Canis lupus familiaris: one gene and its partners. The protein of the gene in region 5 interacts with the protein of the main gene of each other region in a pairwise test. Links are inferred from orthologs where the notes say so. Each region holds a gene or a part of one and is shown on either strand. Other genes may lie near its edges. The genes, in order: EXOC7, CLU, PGK1, SYBU, DISC1, SRGAP3 and GRIPAP1.

Region 1 (3,935 bases), on a different chromosome or scaffold from region 5:
TCAAGTCTCTCTTTTGGGCACTAGGTCTCCTTGTCTCTCTCCAGATGGGAGTGTATGCCTGGCTCTCAGGGCCTGGGCCAAGGGGAGAAGTCGCCGCTACTTGGACGGCGGCTCCCTGGCGGGCAGGGAGCCCTGACATCTGACTCCACCAACAGCTCTAAAGCTCTGACTCGGAGCCCGTTTCTTTGCTTATGGGACCAGGTTGCCTGCGGGTGCCCCCTGCCCCAGCCTCCACTAGTGGGTCCCAGTCTCCTTTTGAGCCAGCTGACCAGCCAGGAGCCCTCCTTTTCTGGGACTCACATTGCCTCTTCTCAGAGTGTAACCCTGTGCCAGCTAGCCTCATAGGCCATAGTCCACCACTGCCTTCTTAGACATTCCAGAATGTCTGGTGGGGCTGAGAACTGCCCTCAGTGACCTAGCATTTTCTCAGATGGGTGACCACAGTGCCCTTGAGACAGGCACTGCCTCTCGCCCACCCTGGCCACCCTCTTTCTGGTGCAGTTCAGAATCCTAAGTCCTGGGGTCAGGCATACCGTGGCTAGGAAGCCGATTTAGGGCTCTTCCCTCTTTATCCCCTCATCGATCTCCCTACCACCTTTAGTACCTGATGCTCTGGGACGTAAACACTGTCCAGCAGAGCTGAAAATGAAGCCAGGACAAAGGCTGGATTCAGCCCCGTTTTTCCTTTTGAGCAGTCAGGCCTGCTGGAATCCTCTCAGCTTTCTGCCAGAATAGTCCTCCTCCTCCCCATCTCCTGCTGGCCCGAGCTACAGGCCAGGAGCTGGGGAGACCCAGCAGGGAGAGCGGCTTCCCGCAGGCCAGCAGCTCAGGGGCACTGCTGTCCCTCCAGGGAGAGACGACACGCTAGATGTGGAGACCGACGCCTACATTCACTGTGTCAGTGCCTTCGTCAAGTTGGCCCAGAGCGAGTACCAGCTGCTGATGGACGTCATCCCTGAGCACCATCAGAAAAAGACCTTTGATTCTCTGATCCAGGTGCTGCCCCGCCCCCACCCTGCTCCTGGGTCCTGACCAGATGCCCCAGCAGAAGCTGCCACCACAGAAGCTCACGTTTGGGACAGACCTGTTGTCCTGTAGCCTTCAACTAGAGCCACACAACTAGTGTGTGTGTGTGTAGGGGGGCGGGGGTTCCTCCCCATTGCTGCCCCCTGCTGAGGCAGGGGCCCCTGGGAAGCCGCTCACACCCCTCTGCCCCCCTGTGAGCCGCATCCTTGCCATGCTCTCCCAGGATGCACTGGACGGGCTGATGCTCGAAGGGGAGAACATCGTGTCTGCTGCCCGCAAGGCCATCATCCGACACGACTTCTCTGCCGTGCTCACTGTCTTCCCCATCCTGCGGCACCTCAAGCAGACGAAGCCCGAGTTTGACCAGGTGCTCCAGGTATGTGGGTAGGAAGACCCGGGGACACAGGGAGGAGGAATCGTGCTGCCTGGCATGGCCTCCCAAGGGGTGCAGCTTCTCTGCCCTCATGCCTCCAGTCAGAAGGTGAGCGGAAGCAGCTTCTACACGGGGCCGCAGATGTAGGCACACACTCACAGGGTGACCGAACAGGAGTGGGAGCCCTGCAGTGAGGGGCAGGGAGGCAGCTGGCGGGGAGCCAGGCTCAGCTCTGCAGCCGTGTGCGTCCTTAGGGTACAGCTGCCAGCACCAAGAACAAGCTGCCCGGCCTCATCACCTCCATGGAGACAGTTGGAGCCAAGGCATTGGAGGACTTTGCCGACAACATCAAGGTGCTCTCCCTCTCCATCTGCGGCCCTAGAACTGTGGGCAGGACCCCCAGGGGCCTGCCTCGGGGGCTCCTACGGAAACCAAGCCACCCAGCTAGCCCATTGACTAGCTGGCTGTGCTGCTAGTCAATACCCAGGGGGCTCCAGAGCCTCTGAGGGGTGAGGCTGCTGCCCTATTTTTCCTGTCCCATCTCTCACCTGTGTGCCTGAGGGGCACCCCAACACCTCTCTGCCAGGAGGTGGCATCGGGTGCAGACAGCCTGGGCCCCGGGGTGGAGCGCAAGGCCTTGGAAGCAGGTTCAGGAAGTTGGGACTGTTTTTTCCACAGAATGATCCAGACAAGGAATACAACATGCCCAAGGATGGCACCGTGCATGAGCTCACAAGCAATGTAGGTGCTGCCCCGGGTTGCCTGGGGAGGGGAGGGACCCAGCCTGGCCCAGAGCTTGTGGCAGGATAGATGGCAAAGTATTTCGTGTCTCCAGTAGACTGGATCATTCAGGGCAGGAAGCTTGCAACCACTCTTCCCTTGGCAGACCCCAGGCCCTGCACTTGCCCTGGAACGGTCAGAAGGGGTGTGTTTGGGAGGTGATCTGACTCTAAGGTCCTGCCCTTGACCTTCTCCCTGGACCTGTTTTCTCCCCACACAGGCCATCCTTTTCCTACAGCAACTCCTGGATTTCCAAGAGACAGCCGGGGCGATGCTGGCCTCCCAAGGTACTTGGCACCTCCCAGTGGGGCCCCCTCCCCATACCCCACTCCTCCCTCTTGTCTGGAGACACAGGGTTACTGGCCACCTCTGGGAGAGATTTCCTCCGGCTCTGTGAAGTGGGGTTTGACTGTGCCTTTCCTGACCCGACCTCCCTCCCTTCTCGCTCCTTCCACCGTCCTCGCTCTGGAGAGTGGCACTCCCTGGTTCGAAGATGCCCTGCCTGCCTCGCCCCTCCTTCCGCATTTCTCCATCTGCTCTTGGGTTCGCCTGTCCTCCCGATTAGTCTCACACAGCTGACCGTTCCGTGGGCTGGCGCCTCAGGGCCAGCCGGGTGTCTTCCCACTGACTGCTGCCCTGGCATTGGAGCTGGGGAGGTTGGCATGGAAGGAGGTTGGCATTTCTGAGCACCAAGACCCAACCCAATTTGTTGGGGCCCCCGGGCCCTCCCCCTCCCTCCATTTTGGGGGCGAGGGAGCCAGGAGCGGCCTCTGGCCTGCAGTTCTCTAGATCCCCACTTCGCTGCGTGCTCCCTCACCTTCCGGGGAGCAGCCTGGGTGTGTCCTGCTGTCTGTGTTCTGGCTGTCACGGGGAGGGGTCTGCTTGCTCGGGGACACGGTTGCTAACCTGTGTTTGCACTTTGCGTCTTTCTCCCTTCTTTGTCTCCCCTTCCCCTCTGAGTGCACTGCCTTTCACTCCGTAGTTCTTGGGGACACATACAATATTCCTTTAGACCCCCGAGGTAAGCGGCAGGGCTCTACAGCCCCATCCTACCCCTCTGAAACCCCATGGGTGAGATTCCTTAGGGACAGAGGCACCCAGACAGACTCAGGACCTATTGGGAGCGGGGATCAGAGGGGATGTGGGTTTCTCTAGGGCACTCCCAACTCTCTCAGCTCCCAGCAAGGCTGGCTGCACCCTCCAGGCTAGCCTAGTGCCTGCCCCCTCCCTCCCCATATACCCTCACCACCACCTCCTTGGCCTTCTGTTTGTCTAGAGGGGCCCAGTAGAGGAGGTTGTGGGAAGTGGGGGAGAAAGGGGAAAGGCCATAGGGAGCCCACTCTGAGACCCTGCTGTTCACAAATATGATAAGTGGACCTTATAGAGAGCACCTTGCATTAGTTGGGGCTGGGGGGAAAGGGGTGTCCCACTCCTGTGCCCCCAGACTTCCTGCTGATCATGGGCCAGCTCATTAATCCTGCCACCTATCACCATAGAGGGGCTTGCCCTGGGCTCCAGGAAGAGGCTGCCCAGGGGGTGCTCCTGCAGCAGGTGGGAGCTTGGCAGCTCAGCAGACCAACCCCTTCCCCGTTCTGCGTCCAGTCTGCCTGAGGAAGGCTCAGGGCCCCCCCACCCCCACCCCAAGGTTTCCACAGCTGCTCCAGGGGCTGAGGGAAGGCCAGAGAGGGTCCTGGCTGCTGCCATGGCTGCAGTGACAGGCCTCTCTTCTCCCAGAGACCAGCTCTTCAGCCACCAG
Region 2 (4,024 bases), on a different chromosome or scaffold from region 5:
CTTGGGGCACAAAGCACAGCAGCCTGATGGCTTAGGGGTCCCACCATGGCAGATCAACAAGCTCACCAGGAGCATAGAGAAGACACAGGTGACTGCTTTTGGTCCTGGGATGCCCACTGAAGGTTGTCAGATTGATCAGAGCTGGTTAACTACTCACTTTCTCTTTAAAAGCTATTGATTTTCATTCCCTAATTTTTTCAAAAATGTCCCGAGGATGGTACATGAGACCCTAGCAAGCCAGGGGAAAAAAGATCTTTGCATGTTACATTTCCTATAAAGGGTTACCATAAGTCGTCCTAGTAAATTTAATCATTTGTGTTAGAATTTTTAAAATGTTAGCTGGGGCAAAAGATAAAAGCCAGGTTAAAAAAGATAACATAGTGAATAACCTTAACTCTTCCACCAGGGAAAAATTTAAAAATGAGAAAAGTCATTGAGAACCGAGACGCAGTCTAGAGCAGTGGATCGCAACCAGGGGCTCTGCTGCCCCCTCCCCCCAACAGGGGGATATTTGGCAAGGTCTGAAAATAGTTTTGGTTGTCACAACTGGTGGGGAGGGGAGGCAACTGGTGCGTAGAGGGTAGAACCCAAGGGTGCTGCTAAACATTCCACAGCATACAGGACAGCCCCTCATGACAAAAAGTGATCCAGTCTGGGGGTCCCTGAGTGGCTTGTCAGCCTTCAGCTCAGGTCATGATCCCGGGGTCCTGGGATCAAGCCCCACATCGGGCTCCCTGCTCAGCGGGCAGTCTGTCTCTCTCTCTGACCCTCCCCTCGCTCATGCTCTCTCTCTCTCTCTCTCTCAAATAAATAAAATCTTAAAAAAGAAGAAGAAGGCAATCTGGTCCAAAATGTTAATAGTGCCGAGGCTGAGAAACCCTGGTCTAGAGCGTTCATGCGGTGCGTGCTCATTTGGCTGCTCGCATCTTAAATAAGAGACAGTAACTCTTGGTCAGCGTAGAAGAGAAGGCAGTGTAGGAAAGCTGTGATCCAGGACCATTAAGATCAGCGCTGGGAGTGCCAATTTGAGCCTGGGCATCTGTGCCTCTAATCTTCTGGCCCTACACATGATTTTCTTGTGGTGAGAAGCTGTGTGATCTGTGCTACTCTACGATATTTGATGGAGGAAAACCCAAGAGGTTTGGTTGAGGACTCATCTACACCTCATCCATCGGCCCCTCACAGCACTTGTATTTATTTGCAGTGGCTTTGAAAATTATAGGCGTGAGGCTAGGAATATTTAACTAGACTCTGAAGGCTTGCCCTGGCAAACCCAAGCGTATTGAGTAAGAGCGAAGCCACGAGATTGATCTGCTATGTCCAAGGGAAAATAATTAACTCTTTTGGAACAGAGACTATTGTGTGCCAGGAGCCATTGCAGAGGCTTTGACAGCTGCTACTCAAAGTAGGAAGAAATGAGCCAAGGAACAGATCTGATAAAGCTGAGGGGGGAACAGCTGAAGGGAAGTACAGGTGACCCTCGAACAACACAGTTTGAACTGTGTCCACTTAGACGCGGGTTCTTCACAGGGCAGTACTGTAAACATAGTTTTCTCTTCTTTATGATTTTCTTGATGATTTTTTTTCTCTAGTTTATTTTAAGAATACAGTATATAATACAAGTTACATATGAAATACATGTTTATGGATGGCTTGTTACCGCCTCGTTGTTCAATGGTCAACCCTATTTTCTTTGCTTTTGGGACCGACCAACCAAAGGGTATTTTGCTGGGACGCCAAGGTACCACTACCAGTGACCCCAGAACACATCCCCAACACCTAGCTCTCCAAGGCATCCTATAATCTAGGGAAGTTACCCAACCTTCCTGTGACTACGAGCTTTTTCACCTCTGTAAGATAGGCACTGGAACCGTATGCAACTCAGGGTCATTCTGAGGAAATGAGTAAATGTTTGCCAAGTGTTTAACAATAGTGCGAACAGTGCTCACAGTGTCATGGTGTTTGTTAACAGATTGCATATTATCTAAGATTCCATCATCTACAGGAAGAAATGAGGAGGCCTACCAGGTTCAGCTCTTGGGAAGAGAATAGCTAGGAAAATCAAAAAAAAGGTATCTCCCCAATTTCTGGGACACCCATACATCTTAACCCTTGTCTACAGATGGGGGCCCACATGGAGCAGAGCCAAGGACCTCCCCCAGTACCACAGCTAGAAGGCAGCGCAGCTGGAATTTCAAGTCCCATGTGTCTGATCCTCTAAGGAGAGCCCCAGTGATATACCAGGGACCCAAAGCTCCCCAACTCACCCACTGACAAGATCTCCTGGCACTTTTCACACTGGTCCTTCATTTTCAGGCACCCTGTGGAGTTGTGACGGATCTCCTTGCACACGGTGCGGTTATCTTCTGGAGACACACCAGGGAAGAGGGAGTCAGTTATGCTGAGGCACCACACAGAGCAACATAATGATGGGCCACCCCTCTGATCCCTTCCACACTACCGTCTGCCCCTTTGAAATGCTTCTGTGGGCAGAGCAGGTTGGAAATGAGCTGTCTACCTGCAGACTCAGGCCTCGCTGATCAGGGCTCCCTGCAGAGGGACGAGGAGGTGGTTCCAGGGGATCCCTCAGCTGGGTATGGCCTCACCTCCCACCATCTCCATCCGATGAGACCTTCCTACCTCCACACTGCCATAGCTATATGCACTTCTCTTTGGCATTAAAACCCTGTGTGCTCTGTATTCTATCTGGCTCATCTCTCTCCCCCTAGCCAATCAGCAAGCCCCTTGAAGGCAGGAATGGGATCCTCCTTAGAGCCTCCTTGTAACACAAGGCTCCCCCTCAATTATAGATACACAGTAGATGCTGTTCCATTCAATGTCCTCCTGTATCTTCCAAACAATTTCAAGCCAAACTTGGTGCCAGTCAAATTGTAGTATTTAGGAGACAGTGTCAGCAAACCATGTCTATTAATTCAACGAAGGAAATTACCTCTAAAAGTATTAACTTTTCATGTCTGTATTAGACCTGATTCATTCAAAAAATATTCATGCATGCCCATTCTCTGCCAGGCCCCAAGGTCATAGCCAAGAACAGCTTTCTAAACTGTAACATGGATTGATTATATAATTTGTCACCACTATATGCATGGCATCCCCATAAAGTCACCTGAGTTGCCAAGACAAAGGGTCTGGTTCTCTAGAAAGGAGTAATCAATGCCCTGCCTACCAGTTGCTGGAAGGGGCATGGTAAACTTGAAAGAACACAGATTCCCAGTCCGGCAGGGCTAATTCTGACTGGGTCCGCCTTTACCAGGTCAGACATGTTTCATCATCTCTCTGTCATATTTTTCTCCTTAAAGGGAGACAATACCACCTTCATGGGACTGCTGGCGTAAACTGAGATGAAACACGCCAAGCCCTTAGCATAGTTCTTAGAATCTAACAGGCTTCTCAATAACCTGCTAGTTCCCATCCCATCTTAGGAAAAACGAGACAGCTTTCTAACCTTCTGGGAATTCAATTGGGAAGTGGTAAGGAATTCTATGCAGGTTGACATCCATGGCCTGTTGAGCCTGGTGTATCATGTCAAAGAAGGGCTGAAACATGTCATGGAAGTTTAAGGGCTGGAATCTAGGGAAAGGTATTATGTTCCGGGCGATGCGAAATTTGGGATTGAAGAAAGGCCTCCTCTGGAATAAGCTGAAGGGTGAGTAGTGGTAAGTATCCTGGGGCTCCCGGGTGAAGAATCTGTCCTGGAAAAGCTCATCCATGATGCTGGATGCCCGGTTGAAGCTGTCCTGCATGACGTCCAGGGCGTGGGTCTGCTGCCGGTCGTTCTCCAGCAGGGAGTCGATACGATCGCCATTCATCCAGAAGTAGAAGGGAGAACTCTGGTTCAGGAACTCCTCGAGCTGTCACAGGCAGAATGGGGAAGTTAGGAGAAGCTCGCCTAGGTCCCAGCTGCCTCCTGCACTTCCTGCTCGTGGAAAAGGGCCAGTCCTGGCCCTTTGCGGCCCCTCAGTCTCCTCGGTCACATAGCACATGACCAAAGGTTCTGCTAGGA
Region 3 (3,025 bases), on a different chromosome or scaffold from region 5:
TCTACCCCTCCCCAGGGGTCCCGTAGCAATGTCTGGGGATATGGTGGTTGTCACAATTTGAGGAGGGAGGTCAAGTTCTACTGACATATAGGAGACAGAGTCAGGGATGCTGCTCAACATCCTGCAATGTGGAGGACGGCTCCCCACAACTATCTGAGACATCAACAGTGCCAAGGTTGAGAAACAATTATCTAGACTCAGTGGTTCTCAAACTTTGGCATGTGTCAGAATCACCAGAAGGGCTTGTTATAGCAAAAAATTGCTGGGTCCAACACCCAGTTTCCAATTCAGTAAGACTGGGATAGGGCCCAGAAACCTATGTTTTTTAAGTTCCAAAATGCTGCTGATGCTCTTCTTGGAACCACACTTTGAGAAACACTGAACAAAATAATGCCCACATGCTTAATAAGAGGAAAATAAGCAAACTAGTATATCAACATGACAGTTTTATACAGCTATTAAAACGACAATATGTACATGACATTGCAGCCAAATATTTAGTCTTTATTATACACATACATTTTTTCCCTGTTTATAATCAGCATATTTCTGCTATCTTAAGGTTTTCATTAGAGTTCTTATACAGCTTTCTAGGTAACAACATAATCCAGAACAGCCCAAATCATGAAAGTACATAGCACCAACCCCAGCACATAGTTAAGTATTTAACAAACATTAAATAAAAGAAACAAAAAATGGTTTTGCCCCCACATTACTGATGAAGACAGAGGCAATCATGCTTTTCCCCCTCAGATTCCCTCTTGAAGAAGGCCTCAATGCTACATCTGGAGCCCTCTCTGACCGAGATCTCCCGTAGAGATTCTTTTAAAATCCTTGCTGGTTGGTAGAATGAAAGAATGAATGAAATAAAAATGTTTTTGTTCACTTGTACTACCAACCCACCCAAAGTGACTCACCATCCAGCCAGCAGGTATGCCAGAGGCCACAGTGGCTTGGCCAGTCTTGGCATGCTCATCAAACTTTTCAGCAGTGACAAAGTCAACTGGCAAGGTAATTTTCACACCATTCTTCTCAGCTTTGGACATCAGGTCTTTGACGATCTTGGCTCCCTCTTCATCAAACAGAGAAGTGCCAATCTATACAAGGGAGCCAAGATAAAGATCAGCCTCTATACTAAGAACATGATTACCTCACAAAGGAGACAGGAATAAGATACAACACAGTATAAAGAAAAAATTCCAAGACAAAAGATACCAACTTTCCAAAATAAGTAAGAATAGGAGTTTTGAGGGCTCACATCAGAAGCTGACTTTCTTTTTAAATTTACATAACCTGATATTTCTCATGGAGAGCCATTTCACATCCACTTGGCATCGGTTTCCTACCTCCATGTTGTTGAGCACCTTCAGGAAGGTAAAAGCCATTCCACCACCAATAATCATCTCATTGACTTTGTCCAGCATATTACTGATCAGCTGGATCTTGTCTGCAACTTTAGCTCTAGGAGGGAAAGCAATCAATAATCATCACCAAAAGAACAAATGATGGACTAAGGAAGTGATATTACATAGTGCCTGAGTTTTTATATCAAGGCATAGGAACAGAGAAATGTCCCACAAGTTACAAAAGTATTGGCTAACTACACAGGAAAATAGTATGGAAGTTCCTCAAAAAGTTAAAAATAGAACTACCCTATGATCCAGCAATTGTACTACTAGGTATTTACCCAAAGTACACAAAAATACTGATTCAAAGGGATACATGCACCCCAATATTTATAGCCACATTATCAACAATAGCCAAATTATGGAAAGAGCCCAATGTCCACTGACTGATGAATGGATAAAGTTGTGGAGTATGTATATGTGTGTACACACACAATGGAATATTACTTAGCCATAAAAAGTATGAAATCTTGCCATTTGCAATCATATGGATGGAGCTAGAAAGTACTATGCTAAATGAAATAAATCAGATAAAGATAAATACAATATGATTTCACGTATATGTGGAATTTAAGAAAAACAAATGAACATAGGGGAAAAAAGAGAGACAAACCATAAAACAGACTCTTAACTACAGAGAACAAATGAGGGTTGCTAGAAGGGAAGTGGGTAAGGGGATGGATTGAGTGATGGGTATGAAGGAGGGCACACATGATGAGAACTGGGTGTTGCATGTAAGTGATGAATCATTAAATCCTACACCTGAAACTAATATTACACTGTATGTTAGCTAACTGGAATTTAAATAAAAACTTAGAAGAAAATAATTTTAAATAAAAACTTGGAAGAAAAAAACATACTGGCTAACTTTGCCCCATGTTTCTTCAACCAAAAGGCCCATCTGTTTCTAAGAAAATCTCTTAGAGGTGCAATCCTAGACAAAAAGGACTTAGAAGACCTACTATTGTCTAAAGAAACCATGAGACCCAAATACATCTATTTTGCCCCTACTCTCCACACAGAAACCACAGTCAAGACAGATAATTATACCTGAGCAAGACTGCTAATCATGGGATCCCTGAGCCCACTCAAAACTGTCCCACAACTCAGGGTGCCTGGGTGGCAGTCAGTTAAGTAGTCTTGGTTTTGGCTCAGGTCACGATCTCAGGGTCATGAGATCAAGTCCAGTGTTGGGCTCCACACTCAGCACAGTCTGCTTCAGATCTCTCTCCCTCTCTTTCTGACCCTCTTGCCTGTGAACATACTCATGCTCTAATAAATAAATCTTTAAAAAAATGTGGGATAGACATTCTACAGCTCACATGCCCTGCTTCTTCAACAAATCAATGGAATGAAAATAAGAAAAGGGGGACTATTACAGAATAGAAAATGCCTAACAACCAAATACAATGCATGAACTTCATCTGGATCCTTATTCAACCAAGCCAACTATGAAAAGACATTTCTGAGATGACAAAGAACTTCTGAGTACAGGCTAAATGTTAGATGACACTAACAAAAGTGTTAAATTGTGTTAGATATAACATGATGGTTATTTAAAAAGAATCTCTTTATCAGTTATGAGATACATACAGAACTACTAAGTGAAATTATATGTC
Region 4 (4,640 bases), on a different chromosome or scaffold from region 5:
TCAAACAGACTCCTCTCTGAGCCTTAGGCAGGGCTTGATCTCATGACCCATGCTCAACCACTTGAGCCACCTAAGGACGCCAGAGAATGAATGATATTTCTTTGATCAGAAGTGTGTATACAAGAACTTTCCTTTCCTTTGCCAGAATCTGCAAGGAAGGAGCATAGTCTACAAGACTACACCAAAGCTTTAGCTTTTCATCTCCTTTGGAACTGTGTTCTAGGCCTTCTGTCATGCATGTTGGCCACCCCATAAAAGATATCTCATTTTGGAATTGATGAAGTAGCTCTAAAAATCCACAAAAAAATTTTCAGATGTTTTAATTAATTAGTAATCCTGAATTCTCATAAAGAAAAAGTTATTATGACTATTAGTTTCTTTCTAAAGGAACTGTATGTCCTCTCATTACTTCTGCTTGGTGATAGCTACCCATTTAATCTCCTGAAGCACAGAAAGCATCCTGCTGAGAAAAGACCATTTGTAGATCTAAGACCACAGTATTTTCATGCAGAAAATACTTTTTTTTTTTTTTTTAAGATTTTAGTTTTAAGTAATCTCTACACTCACATTGGGGCTCAAACCCACAACCTGGAGATCAAGAACCTCATGCTCCATCGACTGAGCCAGTCAGGCAATTCTGTCTTTTCTTTCTTGATGAGTAAATATTCCCACTTAAGTTTGATGGCTATAAAAGTTCATTTTGGAACCAGCAGAACAGAAGGAGTTAAAGCTCCTTGAAAGCATTTCTAGGAATACTGTTATGGTCCTACCATACTCACCTACTCCTCTTTTCTCATATAGTTTTTTTTTTAAAAAAGAAAGAAAAACACCTGTTATTTTAGTACATAACTATTTAAATGTGAAACTTTCTCCCTATTTTCCAAAATTTTAAATAAATTACCTTAAATTACTATCTCTTGCTAAGATGCCATTTAGTATCTCCAGGATATCCTGATGTTCTAGCATGAGCAGATAAACCTTAGAAATACACATGGTTTTTTAAAATATGAAATGAGCAAATATGCAGGTATTAGTTTGTATTACATACTTAAAATAGCATATACAGCAAAGCAAGGAATTTTGTGTACAATTCAGATTTAGCAAAATAGTCAGTGTTGGATTTTGAAGCACTTACAAAAGTACTTTTAAAAAAAGCCTTTTTATTTTGAGATAATTATAGATTCATAGGAAGTTTCTAAGATAGTAGAGAAGTCCCTATATCCTTCACCCAGTTTCCCCTCAATGACTGTATTTTACATAACTATAGTATAATATCAAATCTAGGAGGCTGACATTAGTGCAATGTGTATGTAAACCTATGATATTTCATCACATATATAGACTCATATAGCCATCATCGCAATCAAGATACACAACTATTTCATCATCACAAAGCTCTCCTTCATGACACCTCTTTATAATCACACACATCTCTAAGACCTGCCAATCAGTGTCTGTAAAATTACTTATTTATGCATATCTCTTACACATTTTTACTAAAATATGAGAAAACCACAGAACTGGGTGTCAGGAGGTGGCTGGTTCTAAATTTGTCACTGGCTAATTCATATGCTTGGACAATTCACTTCCCTTCTACAGCCTCAGTAGCTCCTCTATAAAAATGAAGGTTTGGACTCTTTTCTTCTCTTTTCTTTTCTTTTCTTTCTTTTCTTTTTTAAGGGCACCAGCATTTGAAAACTCACATGATTACTGTTCTCAATTATGATATCACTTGAAAGATTATTAAATGCAAACCAAGTTAAGAAAGTATGATTTAAGTATGTGGAGATCAACAAGGATTGAATGTATTTAAATGTATTCTGCATTAAAATAGTGTCATTGTCAAACAACTTAAGTGACAAAAAGCTGCCTTATGATAATATATTGCCGCTCTAAAATTTGAAGCAAATAGAAACATGATCTGACTTGGATCCATCTTTCATGGGGACAGGGGCTACTGTTCTCCCAAATGCACAGGTGGAGAAAACCTGGCACTGAGATTACCTGACTCCCTTTGCTCCCAAGGGCATCCTTTGGGGAAGAAGAAGCCAACATTCCTAAAATGTGCCTGGCTATGTATCTGAGCTCGCAATGCTGCAGCAGAAACTTTAAGTTGAAGATTCTGGACCTTGGGGTTCACATTTGGCCCTTTCTGGGAAGGGAGATTGACACAGGAGCTGCTCTTTGCTTCTGCAGCCCAGGGTCTGGGGTCAGAGGACCTGCAAGGAGCCTAGCAGTGGAGTTTCCTGCTGTCTTAGGGAGCACTCCTTGCTCCACACTGTAGAACAGCATAAAGACAACAGGGAAGCAGTTTTTCCCAAGTGCCTCCTTCCCCTTAAAGCTTTAATAGTCTCTTCCTATGTGCCATATTAAGCTTGCCGATCTCTTTCTCTACAATATACTCATCTTAAATTCAAACCTGTTGAGGAGTTTTGAGCTCATCACCCGAGCTCTTCAACATCATATTGGTGGAAATTCGGTCCACCCTCTTCACCTCGAAGAATTTGTATGAAAAGTCCCCAAGAAAGCAGAAACTTGAAAAGTGTCGTCTGGGGACTTTGGGCCATCCACGTCTTTGGGAAGATCTACAAAGGCTTTCTTTTTTTGGATAGCACCAATTCTTCACCAAACCCTCCTCATCAAAACGCACCATTTCTAAGTTCCGCTCCCGAGGACAGTTAGTAAAGGGAGATCCAAAACCTATGGCCTGGTCAACCTGCCTGCCCGGCAAGGAGCCTAGCCCAACCACCTCATGACTCATCAGACTGGGGCACTGTCACCCCGTCTCCGTGCGGAGAGCGCCCACTGCCCACGAGCTCCTCCCGTGCGCCCGCGAGCACCCTGACGCCCCACCCCGCCCGCGCAGGTCTGCGGTATCCTCCGCTCGCCACGGACCCAGGAGGCCTGGCCGCCCTGCGGTGCCCGCGGGCACCGACGTGGGGATCCGCACAAGCGCCCGGTCTTACCCTCTCTCTCCCAGGAGGGGCCCATCGCGCGGTCCAGGACGAGGCATCCACGCGCGCCCGGGAGGCCGGGGCCCGGCTGGGCCGGGGTCGGCCGCGCACGCGAGCGGGCGGCGGCGCAGGTGCGCGCTCAGGCGCGGGGAGCCGGGCCCGGCCCGCTCCGCCCGCGCCAGCCCGGGCGGGACACGTGGTGCTCGGCCGCCCGCGCTCGCGGTGCCCGCGGCCCCGGGGCCTCGGCAGCCCGTTCGGCCGCGGCAGAGGTTGCGGACGCTGCGGGGCGAAGGGCGCGGAGCGAGAGGCGGGGCGCGGGAAGGGGGGGCGCCGCGCCGGGGGCGCCGGGGCGGCCGCGCGCAGGGGGGCTCCGGGGGCCTGCTGCCGGGGTCCTCGACCTGCGGGCTCGGTCCCGGTCCCCGGAGACGCGCGGACGGCGCGGCAGCTGCGTCCCGGAGGCGCTCCCGGCGGGGGCGGGGGCGGGGGCGGCGCACTGCGGGGGCTCCGGGTGCGCGCCGGGCGCGGGAAGCCGCCGAGCGCGGGGGCCGCAGGGGCCGCCTGCATGACCCAGTCCCGCGCCCGCCGGCCCGAGCAGCTGCGACCCGGCCCGCGTCCGCTCGGGGCTTCACCGCCCGGTAACACTCCCGGCCCCCGCGTGCAGGTGCAAACCGCTGCCAACCGCGGCGTGGGCCTGAGCTGCCCTTGGGGACAGCCTCTGCCGGGGAAGGGCCCTCCTGCGACCACAGCCTGTCGCCTGGGGACGGCTAAGCAAGACGCTGCCCAAACCTGGGAGGAAGACCTACCCTGAAGCCGCAAGCTCTTTCCCACTTCGCCGGTGACCTTGGACGCCTCTTCTAAACAAGGTGTCTCTGTTGGATTTCCTGGTTCTGAGGATAAACGCGGCGATTCGCTTTCTAACTCAAAGGCAGTAATAGCCACTGGGTTAAAAGTAATAACAGGGACGCCTGGGTGGCTCAGCGGTTAGCGCCTGCCTTTGGCCCAGGGCGTGATCCGTGCTCCTGGAGACCTGAGATCGAGTCCCGCGTCGGGCTCCCTGCATGGAGCCTGCTTCTCCCTCTCCCTCTGCCTGTGTCTGCCTCTCTCTCTATGTCTCTCATGAATAAGTAAATGAATAATCTTAAAAATAATAATAATTCTTTTAAAAAACACTCCAGATAGCTTTAATAAGCCAGTGTAACATAGATCTATTTTTTTTTAAGATTTTATTTACTTATTCATGAGAGATAGAGAGGCAGAGACACAGGCAGAGGGAGAAGCAGGCTCCATGCAGGGAGCCCGACGTGGGACTCGATCCTGGGACTCCAGGATCACGCCCTGGGCCAAAGGCAGACGCTCAACCGCTGAGCCACCCAGGAGTCCCCATAGATCTAGTTTGTATTGACTTTAGGTAAGGCTGAAGGAAGCTTAGGACTAGGAAGAAAACCATTCTGATTTGTAGGTCCAAATGCAAAAATTCATCAGCCCCTCTACCTGCTTTTCTAGGAAGGTAGGTTTGAAGAAATTAGTGGGAAAATACTTTCCTCAGAATTGCCAGAGCCCCAGGTAGCCCCATCCAGGGCACTGAGCTTTCCTAAAGAGCCTCATGATGAACTGATTTCATCATTCTGCTCTCCCATAGCTGAGGGTCAAAGGGCAGTCACCACAGTTTGGCTAAGGGCTCTTCTT
Region 5 (4,024 bases):
TTCGCTTTTTTAGTTGGTGATGTTTTCCTAAACTTAGTTTCCCTGAATGGTTGACATAGGTTTGACATAAATTTTTGCTTGGGGTATATATTTTTTTTCTGTCCAACTGCATCGAGTTAGAAATTGAATACTTTAAGGATGAATTTGTCATCCGTTAAGGGTAAATGTCTTCAAGACCCCTGCAAAGCCTCAATCAAGCCTGTGCTGCATTTCCCCCAGCACTGCTTTGACCAAATGTGCCAGCTCCTGACAGAGCCAGATTTTAAGTGGTTTTTGACAGTCTTTTAGCAAGCCTTTTCTGAGAAGCTCTGACCCCAAGCATCTGTGGATCAGTCACAGCTCTTTTTAATCTCTGCAGCCACGACCGGCCCCTGGCATTTGGCTCTGTCTGAATGATCAAGCCAGCACTGTCCAATAAAATACAATGCAAACCATAGACATGATTTCAGATTATCCAGTAGCCACACTAAATAGATGCAAGAAGAAACAGGTGAAGTTAATTTTACAATATATTTAATGCAACCCAGTTCATCGAAAATATGATCATTCCAATATGTGATAAACACAAAAATTATAGAAATATTTTGCACTCTTTGTTTTCATTCGAAGTCTTTAAAATCTGGTGTGCGTTGGACAGTGTCAGCACGTAGATAGTATATGTGATTAGGGGCCATAGGACGGGACAGGGCAGGCCTAAAAATAGCAGTTTGGCTTTGGGTAAAAGCAAAATCCCCAACAGAATGTAATTAAAACAGAAACTTACTTTAGGGACCTAGTTCCTCTGACCCGCCAAAGATGAGAACAGCTGGCGGCCACTTTGTGAAATTTCTTTCTCTGGACAGTTTTGTAGCTCCAAGGATTTCAGTTTCTTCACATCTGTATTAACATGCATATTGTACTTTAAGGGCCTGCAGTGATGACCCCCATACCACCCCCAGGATGGAGCCGAAGCTGTGGGAGCCCACTGCTCAGGACACCCTGCGTGTGTCCATCACCAGACGAGACTGGCTTCTTCAGGAGAAGCGGCAGCTGCAGGTGAGCAGGGGAAGGATGCTCAGAGAAATGAGAGCTTTGGCCAGCCACCCGTGAAGTCCAAAAGAGAGAGATGGGTGGAGTTGGCTGGAGGGCTGGTAGGAATCTCATTCCACAAAGAGGGGTTGAAAGCTCAGCGGTGTTTGTGCCCATTTTCAATATTCCTCATTACTTTTTGAATATGCTTTCCTTGTCTGCCAGGCCAATTTGTCACCTCTGATCATTTTGATCTTTATGAGGTTCTTTTGAAAGGCAGGAAGAAATGTGTTCTGTGAAAATCCTTCATGGAAAATTGTATTGAGTTGAAGTGTGAGGAGCAGTTGTCAGGGGGCAGAGTTGTAAGTGTGGGCTGGGCAAGGCTAGCGTGTCTGGGAAAAACCAGTAGATATCACATGAAAGTTCCAGATTGGCCCAGAGTGGTGGCCAGGAACCACTCAGGGGCCAGAAGTCTAGATGCAGCACAGAGTTAAGGCAGGAGGCTATCAGGTGCTCTGGAAGTGGACTCCCCCTGCCTGAGGCAGGGACCCTTGAAGTTGGGTCCATACGACCTGGAACCTACGGTCTCGAGACAGGAATGGAGGGTAACAGGGAGCATCTATGGAAGACAACGTGACTTCCAGGAAGAGTATGGGTCTTGAACACCTGAGTGCAAATCTTGGTTTAGGTTCTAAACAATGGAGTGAGTTTAGACTGTTTTATGGGCTTGGATGAGTTCTTGGACTGCCCTCCCATCCCTACCCCCTGGTTCAGAGTATTCTTATTACCTGAGCTTGCCCATCCAAGTCCCCATAACAGCAAGGTGGCAAAAGCCATCACAACTTGAAAATATTCTCCAGTAAACTGAATACGTCTATATTCAGTGAGTATCGTCCTAAAAGTTTGTGTTGTGATGTATGGGGTTCAGGAGCGAAGGGTCAAGAAAGAAATCTTGAGATGTCTTTGGTGCAAAAAGGTGGTTTTATTAAAGCATGGAGACAGGACCCATGGGCAGAAAGAGCCTCATTGGGTTTGAGGAGTGACTGATTATATGCTTTTAAGTTGGAAGGGGTTTGGGGAGAGTGTAAGTCTAAGAAATTTGGAAGCAAGGTTTCTAGGACCTTGAGGAGTCATTTACTGCTAGTAAATTCTTAGTCATGAAACCTTTCAGATGTATATCAGTGGGCCATATGTTTGGAGGATGATTAATAACATATATCTTTGTTGGGGGGTAGAGGTAAAGGAAGTTTCTGAAGGGATTTTTATATGTTAAAGAAGACTTACAGAATCCTGGAAGTCAAGCTAATGTCAAGCTGGGGTTGCTTTTTGCCTCTAGCAAAGTATTCACGTTGAGGCAGTTGAGTTCCTGGAGGAAGGTCACCCTGCTTGTCTCAAGTACTTGTCAGTGGACTGCAAAGGAAATTTGATTATTTTTCTTATATGTCTTTTGCTTTTGTTCTCCACATCACTTTGGGTAGCTGAAAATGTGAAATCTGGCTTTTGGTTTTGAACAATATTTAATATTTACAATATTAACAATATTTGAAAAATATTTACAATATTTTTCAGTAGCCTGCATAATTCCTTATGATGTCAGAATGTACAGAAAATAGTTTTAGACTGGGATACTTAGTGTTTGAGGAGAATGTTCTCAGCAGAACTCTGGGGGAACGTGAATATTCATTTATTCAGCAGGTGTTTGAATGCCTCTTATATTCCAGATACTGTTTGAAATGCTTAGGATTTCTGTGAAGTTGATGTTCTAGTAGAGGTGGGCATGGGGAGATAGATAAGAAATGGCAAACATAATTAATTCTCAAGTTACGTCCTTACTATGTTGTAAGGTGGTAAGAGCTATAATGCATAAGCTAAGATCAACCCATTGTGCAGTGAGATGGAAGCCAAGGGAGCAGCCACATGAAGGCCTGAAGTGGGGATGTGCCTCACATGTTCAGAGGGCAGCCAGCAGGCCAGGGTATGGGAGAATAGTAGAGGACAAAGTCAGGGAGAAACGTCTTGGAGGACCTTGCACACCTTTATAAGCACTCGGGCTTCTGTCTGACTGCAGTGTGGCCATTGGAAGGTTTTAAGCAAAGCAGCAACATAATCTGACCACGTTTTAAAGAATCACTTTGACTTGTGTGTTAAGAATTGGGTGCTGGACCACTGTGGAAAAGCACGGTGGGTCTTCACAACGTTAAAAATAGAATCATCATGCAATCAAGCAATTCCACTTCTGGCTATATATTCAAAAGAATTGAAATAAGGACCTCAAAGTGATGTTCAAAACAACATTTTTCACAACAGCCAAAAGTGGAAGCAACCCAAGTGTCCATCTACAGATGAATGGATAAGCCACATGTACTCCATCCACACAATGGAGTGCTATACAAACTTAAGAAGGAAGGAAATTCTGACACATGGTGCAACTTGGAAGAACCTTAAGGACATTATACTGAGTGAAATAAGCCGGTCACAAAGAAGGCAAATACTATGCTTCCACTTATATGAAGTTCCTAGGGATTCATAGAGACAGAAAGTAGAATGGCAGTTGCCAGGGGTTGGGGGAAGGATGGGGTAAATGGGGATCTGGAGTTTTGGTTTATAAGATGAAGAGGTCTTGGACGGGTGGTGCCAATGGTTGCACAGCAATATGAATGTACTTAATGCCATGGGACTGGCATTAAAAATGGTTAAGATGGTGAATTTCATGTTACATGCATTTTCCACAGTTACAAGGAAAGAAAACAATAGGATACGGGCAGAGGTGGAGGATGGGAGGTTAGTTGGGAAACAATGCCAATGATATTGTAACGATGGACCAATGGGAGACATATTATCTTCTTGGAGCATCTCAGGGGTGGATCTTCAGTCCCAACCAACTAAGTCTCTACCCTCAGCTCAAACTGGAAATGGGGTCAGGAGGTAGAAGTTTTAGGTGATCTGTACTTGGATTTGAGCGACCACAGATAAGAGATGGGGAGACACCCAGGATCAGAGCTCTGCTCTTATTAGC
Region 6 (4,818 bases), on a different chromosome or scaffold from region 5:
CTCTTTAGTAGAATGCAGGAATACTCAAGCATTCGCATCATCACAATCTGGTGTCAGAGAGCCTATGTTTGAATGCTAGTGACTTTGGCTAAGTCACTTCCCATCTATGCCTCTCTTCCTTCATCTGTGAAAGATGGATGCTTCTACTACATTGTTAGTTTTTTTTTGGAGGCTATCATGGGGTAATAATAATTGCTACCATTTATGGAGTGCTTATTATGTGCCTGGCACCATGCTAAGCTTAGCTTCACATTCTTATTTGAGCCTCCTAAGAGCTCTCTCTTCTTTAAGTTGCTTACCCAGCAATATTTTCTTCCCCATAACGCTTATCTTCTTCTACCATATTGTATCATTTACTCATTTTGTTTATTTTTCATCTTCCTCTTCTAGGGCCTCTTGCTTTGCCTAACTCCAGGAGGTACCATTCACTGTGCATTCTGAGTTCTGCCTTTACTGAGAATATGAACATGATTGGTGGGGATTTCTCAGAGTTGTGTAATGTGGAGACCTCGGAGCTCCAGGAGGACAGGGATTTTTTATTTTTAAATGTGTGTGCTTATTTTGATCATTGCTGTATCCTTGTATCCACAACAATGCCTGACCTATAGTAAGCTTTCCATAAATATTTGTTGAAAGAATGAATTAAAAAGCCCTTAAAGAGAGCCTGTTTTACTGGTGAGGAAACTGAGACTCAGTGAGTTACTGATTTGCCTAAACCTCCAAGAGACACTGAGGCAGCTGGGTGTTTCCAGCATGCCTGCTTTCAACAGCTTTGCAAAGCTGCATGTCTGAAATGCCTGGCATTGTCCCTGCCAGCCCGCAATTGCTCAACAAATATTAATGAGCTTGCCTACATGGGTCAGCCTCTCTCCTCTGTTAGACAATCCCTATAGAGTAACAAACTGTCACATAGCCATTACTTTGAGAAATTAAATTAAATTGCAAGGTACAAAGAAAAGGTGAACCTTTTGGAGTTATTGGAAGAAAAATTCCTAACCCGACTGTTAATGGAGTTTGCAGGGGCCTCCCAGGCCTTTCCCACCCGATTCTTTTTCCTGCTGCTTCCCCTTTTGTGAGCATTTCTTCCCCTTTTTGCTTGCAGTGAGTTCTCTTCTCCTGTAGGCTACAATGTGTCAGTTGTTATAAAATCCGGGAGGTGGAGCTTGGTGACGAGGTGGGTGGGGGAGCGCTCAGCCAGCCCTGCAGGGCGAGCAGTCCAGCCCTGGTTCACCCGAAGCTTAAACCTTGCAGCAGGAGAACTTCCATCTCGCTCTCCTGGCTTTGATCCTCACTGTACATCAGACCCGAGGCGCCGAAGGGAGGGAGGATGCGAGATGACTGGCCCTTTGGCAACCTGACCATCTCCTTAGCAGAGCTTTTGAAAGCCAGCCGGGGACTGACTGCGCGACCGCGACCAAGGAGGCGCCGCGCCTCTCGTGGATGTGTGTGTGTGTGTGTGTGGGTGGGTGGGTGAGCGGGTGTGAGTGAGTGAATGTGTGTGTATGTGTGCGTGTAGATCACGACTGTGTGTGTGTGTCCGGATGAGTGTAAGAGTGCACGCGTGAGTGTGTTTGTGTGCATGTGTGTGTGATTGCTCTTGGTTATTATTTCTGCGGAAGAAACATCTTGAAAATCTGGGACAGGTTACTGTGTTCCTAGGGTGGGAGTTCTTCTTTTGCAAGAGGAGCTGACCAGACCAAGCTCCTAGAGACATTTTTGTTTTTTTCCCCCCCGGAGAGTAAAGAGAATTTTCCTCCCGGAACGAGAGGGATTTCCCCCCCCTGGTTCTGCAGCCTTGTAAAAGAGATTAGCCCCTAAACCTGTGAAATCGACTAGAGCCTGTGATTACCAGGGCTTGAGAGAGGACTCGGGAAGAAAAAGAGAAATAAATCAAAAGCCTGTCAGTGCCTTTGGCCACGTTGGAAGATGTCATCTCAAACTAAGTTCAAGAAAGACAAAGAGATCATTGCCGAATATGAAGCCCAAATAAAAGGTGAGAAGAGGGCTGGGGAGTCATGCTTCCCCTCCCCTTTCCTTTTTCTCTTGCTTTGGCTTTCTTTTACCCTTTTCCTCCCTGCCATCACGAAATGTTGTTATGCATCAATAATCTTATTGTGAGTAGAAACAGTGGCAGCCGCACAAGTCCAGACTGGTTTCAACTGCAGAGAGCGCTGGCGCTGGCTGTATGGATTATAGAACGGGCAGCAATCACTGCATTGCAGGTGTGTGAGGAGGATCCTACGCCCGGCTTTAGGAGTGTCGCGGATACTCCATCATCTTGGCGGTGACATGTCACTCTAAGGCCATTTTGACAGTCACTGCCTCCTCCCCCCTTCCATGCTGAAAGCCCCCGAATATGGTTTTTTACGATCTGCATTTATTTTTCTTTCTTCTTCTTGGTTTTTGTCATTGCTTTCCCTTGCCTCTTTCTCTGGGCTGGAAGCCACATACATGTGCACAGGGAAGCAGCATCCCTGGGCTGCAATTCTTTGTCAGTGTTTCTCTGCTGGCCTGGGTTGCCATGGATTAACTGTTATAGGGCATATCGATCCGAAGTAATGCAGGCATTTAGGCATAAAGAGGGAGCTCGGTGAAGAAAATGTATTCTCTCACAGTGTGCAGCCCCAATCACCGGCCATCCGCTGGTGAGCGTGTGGGGTCATCAGCCCTCATTCAAAGCCAACAGCTTAGTGTGCCCTTTCGGCTGGTAGGAGGCTGGTAGGAGCTGCCTGGCTGCCGTAGTGCCTGCGGAAGCCTGCCAGCAGGGTGAGATGACCTCTGGCTGCGCGTTCCAGCTCTGCTGCCATGGGGTGCACGCTCCTCTTAGAAGCTGCTCCCCTAACCCTCACTAGCAAGGCAAGATAAGAAACCAGACACAATCAGATAAATGCAGGCGGAGTCCTCATTCACGCCAGACTGGGGTTCTCCCACCTTCATGAGTTTTAGGCTCAGCTTTGGCAAGGAAAACCTAAAAGCACCATGCTCCCCGCTTTCCCTGAGGATGTACCCCGAGGGAAGCCTGGGCCTGCGCCTCTCAGTGTCTGGTCTCTTTCTGGTTGCGGATCTCCTTGCTGCGACACAGGGTGTGTTGTGGTCTTCCATGCAAAGGCTGAAGACGGAAGATGTCTTCAGGGCATATTGATGCCTGCCCTTGAGGCTCTGGGTGGACTGTTTGAGCAAGTTGGTCATTTGGGGCCCCTGGGGGACCTGAGACCGCCACACCTGCTTTTAGGTGCTGCTGCAGCTCCGGACTCGGTGACCCAGGAAGTCGGGTCGCCTCCCCAGGAGCAGCGGGAGGCCGGCATCCACAGCTGCTGCACACGCTTCAGATGCTTGGGAACCTTTGGGAGGGGAGCAGCCATCAGGGGAGGGCTTTGTTTTTTTTCCAGTCTCGCCAAACGTCTTTTGCCTTTTAGTTCTGGTCAGACCCGGCATGCTAATCACCTCTGGGTAAACCCTAGGGCAAAATAAGCAGAAAACCCTTCTCCAGTGTTCAGTTCAGTATGGAAAACAGTGACTTAGACGATGTTTCAGCCTTGCTGAGAATTTAGGAGCAAGCCCTTTAGTGGTTAGAGATTTGAATTCACCCGACTGCTCCAATACAAAAGCCCAGGTTCAGTCTTTTGCATACACACTTTTTAGCGAGTTTGTATTTTGTAAGATGAATGTTAGCTGATTATTATTGTTCTTTTTAACTGAGGTTCCCCCAAAAATGCCACAACAGAGAAGGGGATGTTCAGTTTTGGACATTTTGGGGGTTTTCATTAGCATTGTCATGGTAGAAAATAACATTTGTATTTTGGATTTTTGGATTTTTGGATTACGACTACCACTGGGCCTGTGTGAACTTTGCTTGGGGATCAATTAAGCATTTATTCCTCTGGCTGGTTCTTTTTTTTTTTAAATACTTTTTTGCCTTTCACTTTTATTTTAACAACTACTCAGCAAGTCCAAGGTAACACATGTCAGCAGGAAATTTGTCCAGATGATCTTGTCTCTTCCAGACGCTAAAGGTCTCTACATTCTGGTTAAAGCTGTTGAATTTTATTCCTTTAGAACTGATACCCACAAGCCTTAGGTCAGGATTGTTGCTGTGCCCAAAACCGTCTGGAATCTTTTCTTTCAAAATTCTGTTTATTATCCTCCTAATTACTGATGTACATACAGGGCTCTACACTTTCTTTGGCTCACTCCCAAACGGCACTACTCTCAGCCTGCACAATGTATGGAAAGGGTTCGTGTGAGCTCTGATATAGACATGAGCAAACGGAGGCCTGATGGGTTGGAATGACTTGCCCAAGGTCACAAGGCTGGAAATGTGAAGGCAGCAGATCTTGTTTCCCAAGACATCGTCTGCCTGAAGCTGCCCCTTGAAGGATTGATGTCAGTAGCAGATGGCGGTTTTGTGGTGGGGACTGGCTGCCTCTTGATGGGGCTCCATTGTTTACTCTCTTACTTTTATTCCTTGCCTTTGTTGCTTTGCCTCTGAAGAGCGTTTGACCAATCACCAAAAATAACGCCTGATGCCAGTTTCCTTTCTCCCTGGAAAACATTTCGCCAGTTTGGTGCAAACACTTCACTTACTTAGATTTTGTCCTCTGTGAGTTGAGGGAGGCGAAGTTTTTGGTTTTTAAAAATGGTACTGAGTTCTTTGTTGACTTATTATTCTCTTTTATCTCTTTTTCAAGAATTTTTTGACCTAAGGAGAAGGTTTTAAAACTGTTTTTTTTTTTCCTATTGTAAAAAATTTCAGATCCATGCCTTCTCTTGCCTCATCCAATACTTGAATCCCTTGGATTATGTATTTGCAACATAGTA
Region 7 (3,921 bases), on a different chromosome or scaffold from region 5:
TTGGCTCAGGTCATGATCCCAGGGTCCTGGGATCAAGTCCCGTCATCAGGCTCCACACAGGGAGCCTGCTTCTGTCTCTGCCTCTACCTCTCTCTCTCTCTCTCTCTCATGAATAAATAAAATCTGTAAAAAAAAAAAGGAACCACCACATTATTTCCTCATTGAGAGGATGAAGGGAGAGGCTGTAGCATAAGAGGTTTTATTTCCAGTTGACAGGAAAACCGTAGGACAGAGGAACAAGCTAAATAATACCACTAGGAAACCAGCAGGAAAACACAACAGGTGGGACACTTTCTGCAGGTCACCTGGTGGGTTTCTTCTACAGGTTGGTGTCATGAAAAACAAAGTGACCACACTAGACTCAAGAGACTTAAAGGACATAAAGCAACCGGATGTGACATGTGCTCTGAAACTGAATGCTGATTTTCATAAAACTAGCAATAGAGGACATTTTTTTTTTTTTATTTATGATAGTCACAGAGAGAGAGAGAGCGCGGCAGAGACACAGGCAGAGGGAGAAGCAGGCTCCATGCACCGGGAGCCCGATGTGGGATTCGATCCCGGGTCTCCAGGATCGCGCCCTGGGCCAAAGGCAGGCGCCAAACCGCTGCGCCACCCAGGGATCCCTAGAGGACATTTTTAAAAAAGATTTTATTTATTCATGACAGACACACACACACACACAGAGAGAGAGAGAGAGAGAGAGAGGCAGAGATACAGGCAGAGGGAGAAGCAGGCTCCATGCAGGGAGCCCGAAGCGGCCTTGATCCTGGGTCTCCAGGATCACAGCCTGGGCCAAAGGCGGCGCTAAACTGCTGAGCCACCGGGGCTGCCCAATAGAGGACATTTTAGGGCCAACCAAAGAAATACGATTAAGGTCTAAGTACTAGATGAGATAAAAATTTAAGAAATTGGGAGGATAAAGATCAGCTGATCAACAGGTTACTTATAATTTCATTAAGGTTTAAGAAAGAAGTGCACCTGGGTGGCTCAGTGAGTTAAAGCATCTGACTCTTGGTTTCAGCTCAGATTATGATCTCGGGGTCATGAGATCAAGCTCCTCGTCAGGTTCCATACTCAGCACAGAGTCTGCTTGAGATTCCCCCTCTCTCTCTTCCCCTACTTGCTCTTTCTCTCTTTCAAATAAATAAAATCTTTTTGAAAAAGAAAGAGAGCAAGATCTAGAAGGGTATTGAACCAAGGGTTTATAGTGGTGATCTCTGGATGGTGAAGAGGTAGTTTCTTTGGATTAAAAAAAACTTGCATGTGTGTGTTTTTAAAATTTTTCTACACGGTACACATACTACTTATGGATTTCCAAATAAAAGTGGCTGGCCAGGAAGCTGACACAATAGACGAAAGTAAGCAAGTGATAATTGTGAGTTGGATAAAAGGACCTCCTACATGATCATGCACCTGCTATAAGCTACATATTTTATGACAGCGGGAAAGGTGGAATTAGCTCACATCACAGATAAGAGAGCAGAGGGACAGAGAGAATAATCTGCTTATCCTCAATTTGGCAATCTGAATCTGAGCTGTCAAGCTTAGAGAAAAGTTGCTAAGAAAATGTGTATGCTAGGCCCAGAGAGGCAGATGGCTACAAGGGAGGGCCTAAGGAGGATCCCAGAGTTTGGGTAGGGGAAGCTGGGCTGTCAGCTCTTCCTTGCCCCTTACCCTGGCTGGAACAGTGGAGCTTTCCTTCTCCCGCAAAATCTCCCGGTAGCTGAAGGACGAGACGCTACTGCTGTCCCCAGTCTGGGTCCGGCTGGGTGAGTTCATCTCTGAGAGAACTAGCTCCTCAAGGCCTTGGGTAGAGAAGGAAGAGAAACCTGAGCCCCAATCCCCTAGGGTCCCAGGGCAGCGACTGGCAGGAAGAGGCAGAAATAGATTTGACAGAGATGGAATGAGGTAAAGTAACACTGGGGCATGGGAAAGGTGGAAATGGACAGTATGACAGGAGAGGCAGAAACAGAAAAAAGAAAAGTTGCCTCTCTGGGCAAACGCATCTGCCAGAAGAGAAACAAAGGTGAAGAGGCTGGGAAGGAGTGGGCAGTGTGGACACATATGGGCATCAAGGGATGTATGCACTCAGACTCGGGGTCCATACAAAGAGGACCCAAGGCTGGAGAGAGCCTGGGGGCAAGACCACACGCAGAAGAGAAACCAAGACAGACAGCAAGCCACAGCAGATGAGAGGACACAAGTCCGAGCAGAGACAAGGGGGGAGAAAAGATGGAGACAGACATGTAAACGTGACCCTAAATCGGCATTTCTTTATGGACAAGGACCACTGGAATCTGCTTGTTGATTTGTACACTAATGTGTAGAAAACAGAAACAAAACTCCTTTATAAAGGGAGGTGACTTCAGGAGAGAGAATGCCTCAGAGACACAGAGATGGAGTGAGAGATGCATCCGTTTTTGCCATGTCACTTAAAACAGGCCCACTGAGCTTGGGTTTCCACTCTTGCAGCTGCTTCCCGGTATCCGGGAGAAGGGCTGACATCCCTTCTCCAAGGATCTCCAGCAAGAGCTTATGGCTGCAGGGGGAGGACAAGGGAGCAAGTTTTCTCTGAGCTTGAGACATGGGAGATGCACCAGAGCCCTCACCACTACATTATATCTATTTATTTAAACATATTTATAGGCCATTTCCTTCTTTAAAAAAGTCCAAAGCAACCCAAGGTTTTTTGTTTTATCTTCTGCCTAGAGTGGCAGAAAGAACATGGATTTTAGCTGAATGTGATAACGCCACAGTGTTGCTATCTGAATGTAAGTCTGTCTCCCTAGCTCAACTAGGAGCTCCTGGAGGACAGTATTTCAGGGGGTTTACTATCAAGGACCCCAGATGTGAGCACATGGGCTCAGTCCACATTTACAGAATGAGAGAATGGATACAGGGGATTTAGAGATACCTGGTGAGGTGTGGGGATGTGCATGAGAGGGTTGTGAAGATCCAGCCAAGATGCAGACAAAAATGGGGGGATGAACGGGAGAGAGAATGTGTTAAAGGGACAAAGAAGAAAATAGCAGCAGAAGAAAAGGAGAGAGAAAGTAGGGAAAGACAGAGAGAGAGAGAGATGGCATGACACAGCACAGAGAGATCAAAACAGAGGAGAGACACGGAAGAAGGCAAGGCAGAGAGCAGGAGAAAGAGAGACAGACAGACCAAGTTCAAGAGGGGCAGAAAGTGCAGGGGAGCCCAGCATAGCAGGTGCAGGAAGCAGCTCTGGCCCTAGGGCCCAAGCCCGCCCCTCGCCCCCGCCCCTGCCCATCGATCCCACCCCTCGCTTGTCCTGCCCTCTGAGTCCAGGCCCCTCACCAGAGCGGCTCTTGCTGTTGGTAAGGATGTCCTGTAGCCGCTCCTGCAGCTTATCGGCCCTTTTCCGCTCCAGATGTAGCTGCCGCTTGAGGTCCTTGAGCTGTGGGGAATAGGGGCGACAGAGGCAGGCTGAGGCCCAGTGGTCCCACAGGCTGGAGGCAGGGGCATGCTTGACCATCTCCCCATCATACCGCAGCACTGCCCTTCTTTTCCAGGATCCGCTGCCCGTCCACTGTGTCCTTCACCTCCTGTGGGCCAACGAAATGCACAGCTAGAGGCTGCCAGGATGGCTGCATGCTGGGCCTTCCCTACCTCTGCCCTGTGACTACACCACGGCCCAGGGTGTGTCTGGGCCCCTGGAGGGGCAAGTGACCTGTTTCAGGTTGCTGATGGTCTTCAGATGGCAGTCCCGCTCCTCCTGGGCTTGCTGGAGCTGATCCCGCAGGCCCTGTAGCTCCTCTTCCTTGCTCTGCAAACCAGGAGGAAGCTAGGCCTCTGCCTGGGAAACATCCATTCCCCACCCCACCCCCAGGGCTCGGCACCCCCTCCAGAGCCCGGCCCTCCCAGGAGAGAGGAGAACACCATTAGGCAGTGGGT

Evidence for each region.
Region 1: the proteins of DISC1 (region 5) and EXOC7 interact in a two-hybrid assay, tested with the Homo sapiens proteins (2 studies listed by BioGRID and IntAct). The link is inferred for Canis lupus familiaris from reciprocal best matches to the Homo sapiens genes DISC1 and EXOC7.
Region 2: the proteins of DISC1 (region 5) and CLU interact in binary tests that used the Homo sapiens proteins (3 or more experiments, as listed by UniProt). The link is inferred for Canis lupus familiaris from reciprocal best matches to the Homo sapiens genes DISC1 and CLU.
Region 3: the proteins of DISC1 (region 5) and PGK1 interact in a two-hybrid assay, tested with the Homo sapiens proteins (2 studies listed by BioGRID and IntAct). The link is inferred for Canis lupus familiaris from reciprocal best matches to the Homo sapiens genes DISC1 and PGK1.
Region 4: the proteins of DISC1 (region 5) and SYBU interact in a two-hybrid assay, tested with the Homo sapiens proteins (2 studies listed by BioGRID and IntAct). The link is inferred for Canis lupus familiaris from reciprocal best matches to the Homo sapiens genes DISC1 and SYBU.
Region 6: the proteins of DISC1 (region 5) and SRGAP3 interact in a two-hybrid assay, tested with the Homo sapiens proteins (2 studies listed by BioGRID and IntAct). The link is inferred for Canis lupus familiaris from reciprocal best matches to the Homo sapiens genes DISC1 and SRGAP3.
Region 7: the proteins of DISC1 (region 5) and GRIPAP1 interact in binary tests that used the Homo sapiens proteins (3 or more experiments, as listed by UniProt). The link is inferred for Canis lupus familiaris from reciprocal best matches to the Homo sapiens genes DISC1 and GRIPAP1.

What each region holds. Positions count from the first base shown.
Region 1 is NC_049230.1:5,428,027-5,431,961, forward strand, and holds part of EXOC7 (exocyst complex component 7), read left to right. Parts: intron 1-850; coding exon 851-996; intron 997-1,249; coding exon 1,250-1,402; intron 1,403-1,653; coding exon 1,654-1,752; intron 1,753-2,077; coding exon 2,078-2,140; intron 2,141-2,399; coding exon 2,400-2,466; intron 2,467-3,161; coding exon 3,162-3,200; intron 3,201-3,913; coding exon 3,914-3,935. UniProt on the Homo sapiens protein: Component of the exocyst complex involved in the docking of exocytic vesicles with fusion sites on the plasma membrane.
Region 2 is NC_049246.1:30,160,654-30,164,677, reverse strand, and holds part of CLU (clusterin precursor), read right to left. Parts: intron 3,873-4,024; coding exon 3,467-3,872; intron 2,367-3,466; coding exon 2,268-2,366; intron 1-2,267.
Region 3 is NC_049260.1:60,534,307-60,537,331, reverse strand, and holds part of PGK1 (phosphoglycerate kinase 1), read right to left. Parts: intron 1,462-3,025; coding exon 1,347-1,461; intron 1,098-1,346; coding exon 918-1,097; intron 1-917. UniProt on the Homo sapiens protein: Catalyzes one of the two ATP producing reactions in the glycolytic pathway via the reversible conversion of 1,3-diphosphoglycerate to 3-phosphoglycerate.
Region 4 is NC_049234.1:10,445,898-10,450,537, forward strand, and holds the start of SYBU (syntabulin), read right to left. Parts: upstream 3,011-4,640; 5' UTR 2,967-3,010; intron 1-2,966. UniProt on the Homo sapiens protein: Part of a kinesin motor-adapter complex that is critical for the anterograde axonal transport of active zone components and contributes to activity-dependent presynaptic assembly during neuronal development.
Region 5 is NC_049225.1:8,131,336-8,135,359, reverse strand, and holds part of DISC1 (disrupted in schizophrenia 1 protein), read left to right. Parts: intron 1-905; coding exon 906-1,035; intron 1,036-4,024. UniProt on the Homo sapiens protein: Involved in the regulation of multiple aspects of embryonic and adult neurogenesis. Required for neural progenitor proliferation in the ventrical/subventrical zone during embryonic brain development and in the adult dentate gyrus of the hippocampus.
Region 6 is NC_049241.1:8,962,405-8,967,222, forward strand, and holds the start of SRGAP3 (SLIT-ROBO Rho GTPase-activating protein 3), read left to right. Parts: upstream 1-1,926; coding exon 1,927-1,993; intron 1,994-4,818. UniProt on the Homo sapiens protein: GTPase-activating protein for RAC1 and perhaps Cdc42, but not for RhoA small GTPase. May attenuate RAC1 signaling in neurons.
Region 7 is NC_049260.1:42,329,592-42,333,512, forward strand, and holds part of GRIPAP1 (GRIP1-associated protein 1), read right to left. Parts: intron 3,794-3,921; coding exon 3,698-3,793; intron 3,573-3,697; coding exon 3,516-3,572; intron 3,425-3,515; coding exon 3,325-3,424; intron 1,809-3,324; coding exon 1,678-1,808; intron 1-1,677. UniProt on the Homo sapiens protein: Regulates the endosomal recycling back to the neuronal plasma membrane, possibly by connecting early and late recycling endosomal domains and promoting segregation of recycling endosomes from early endosomal membranes.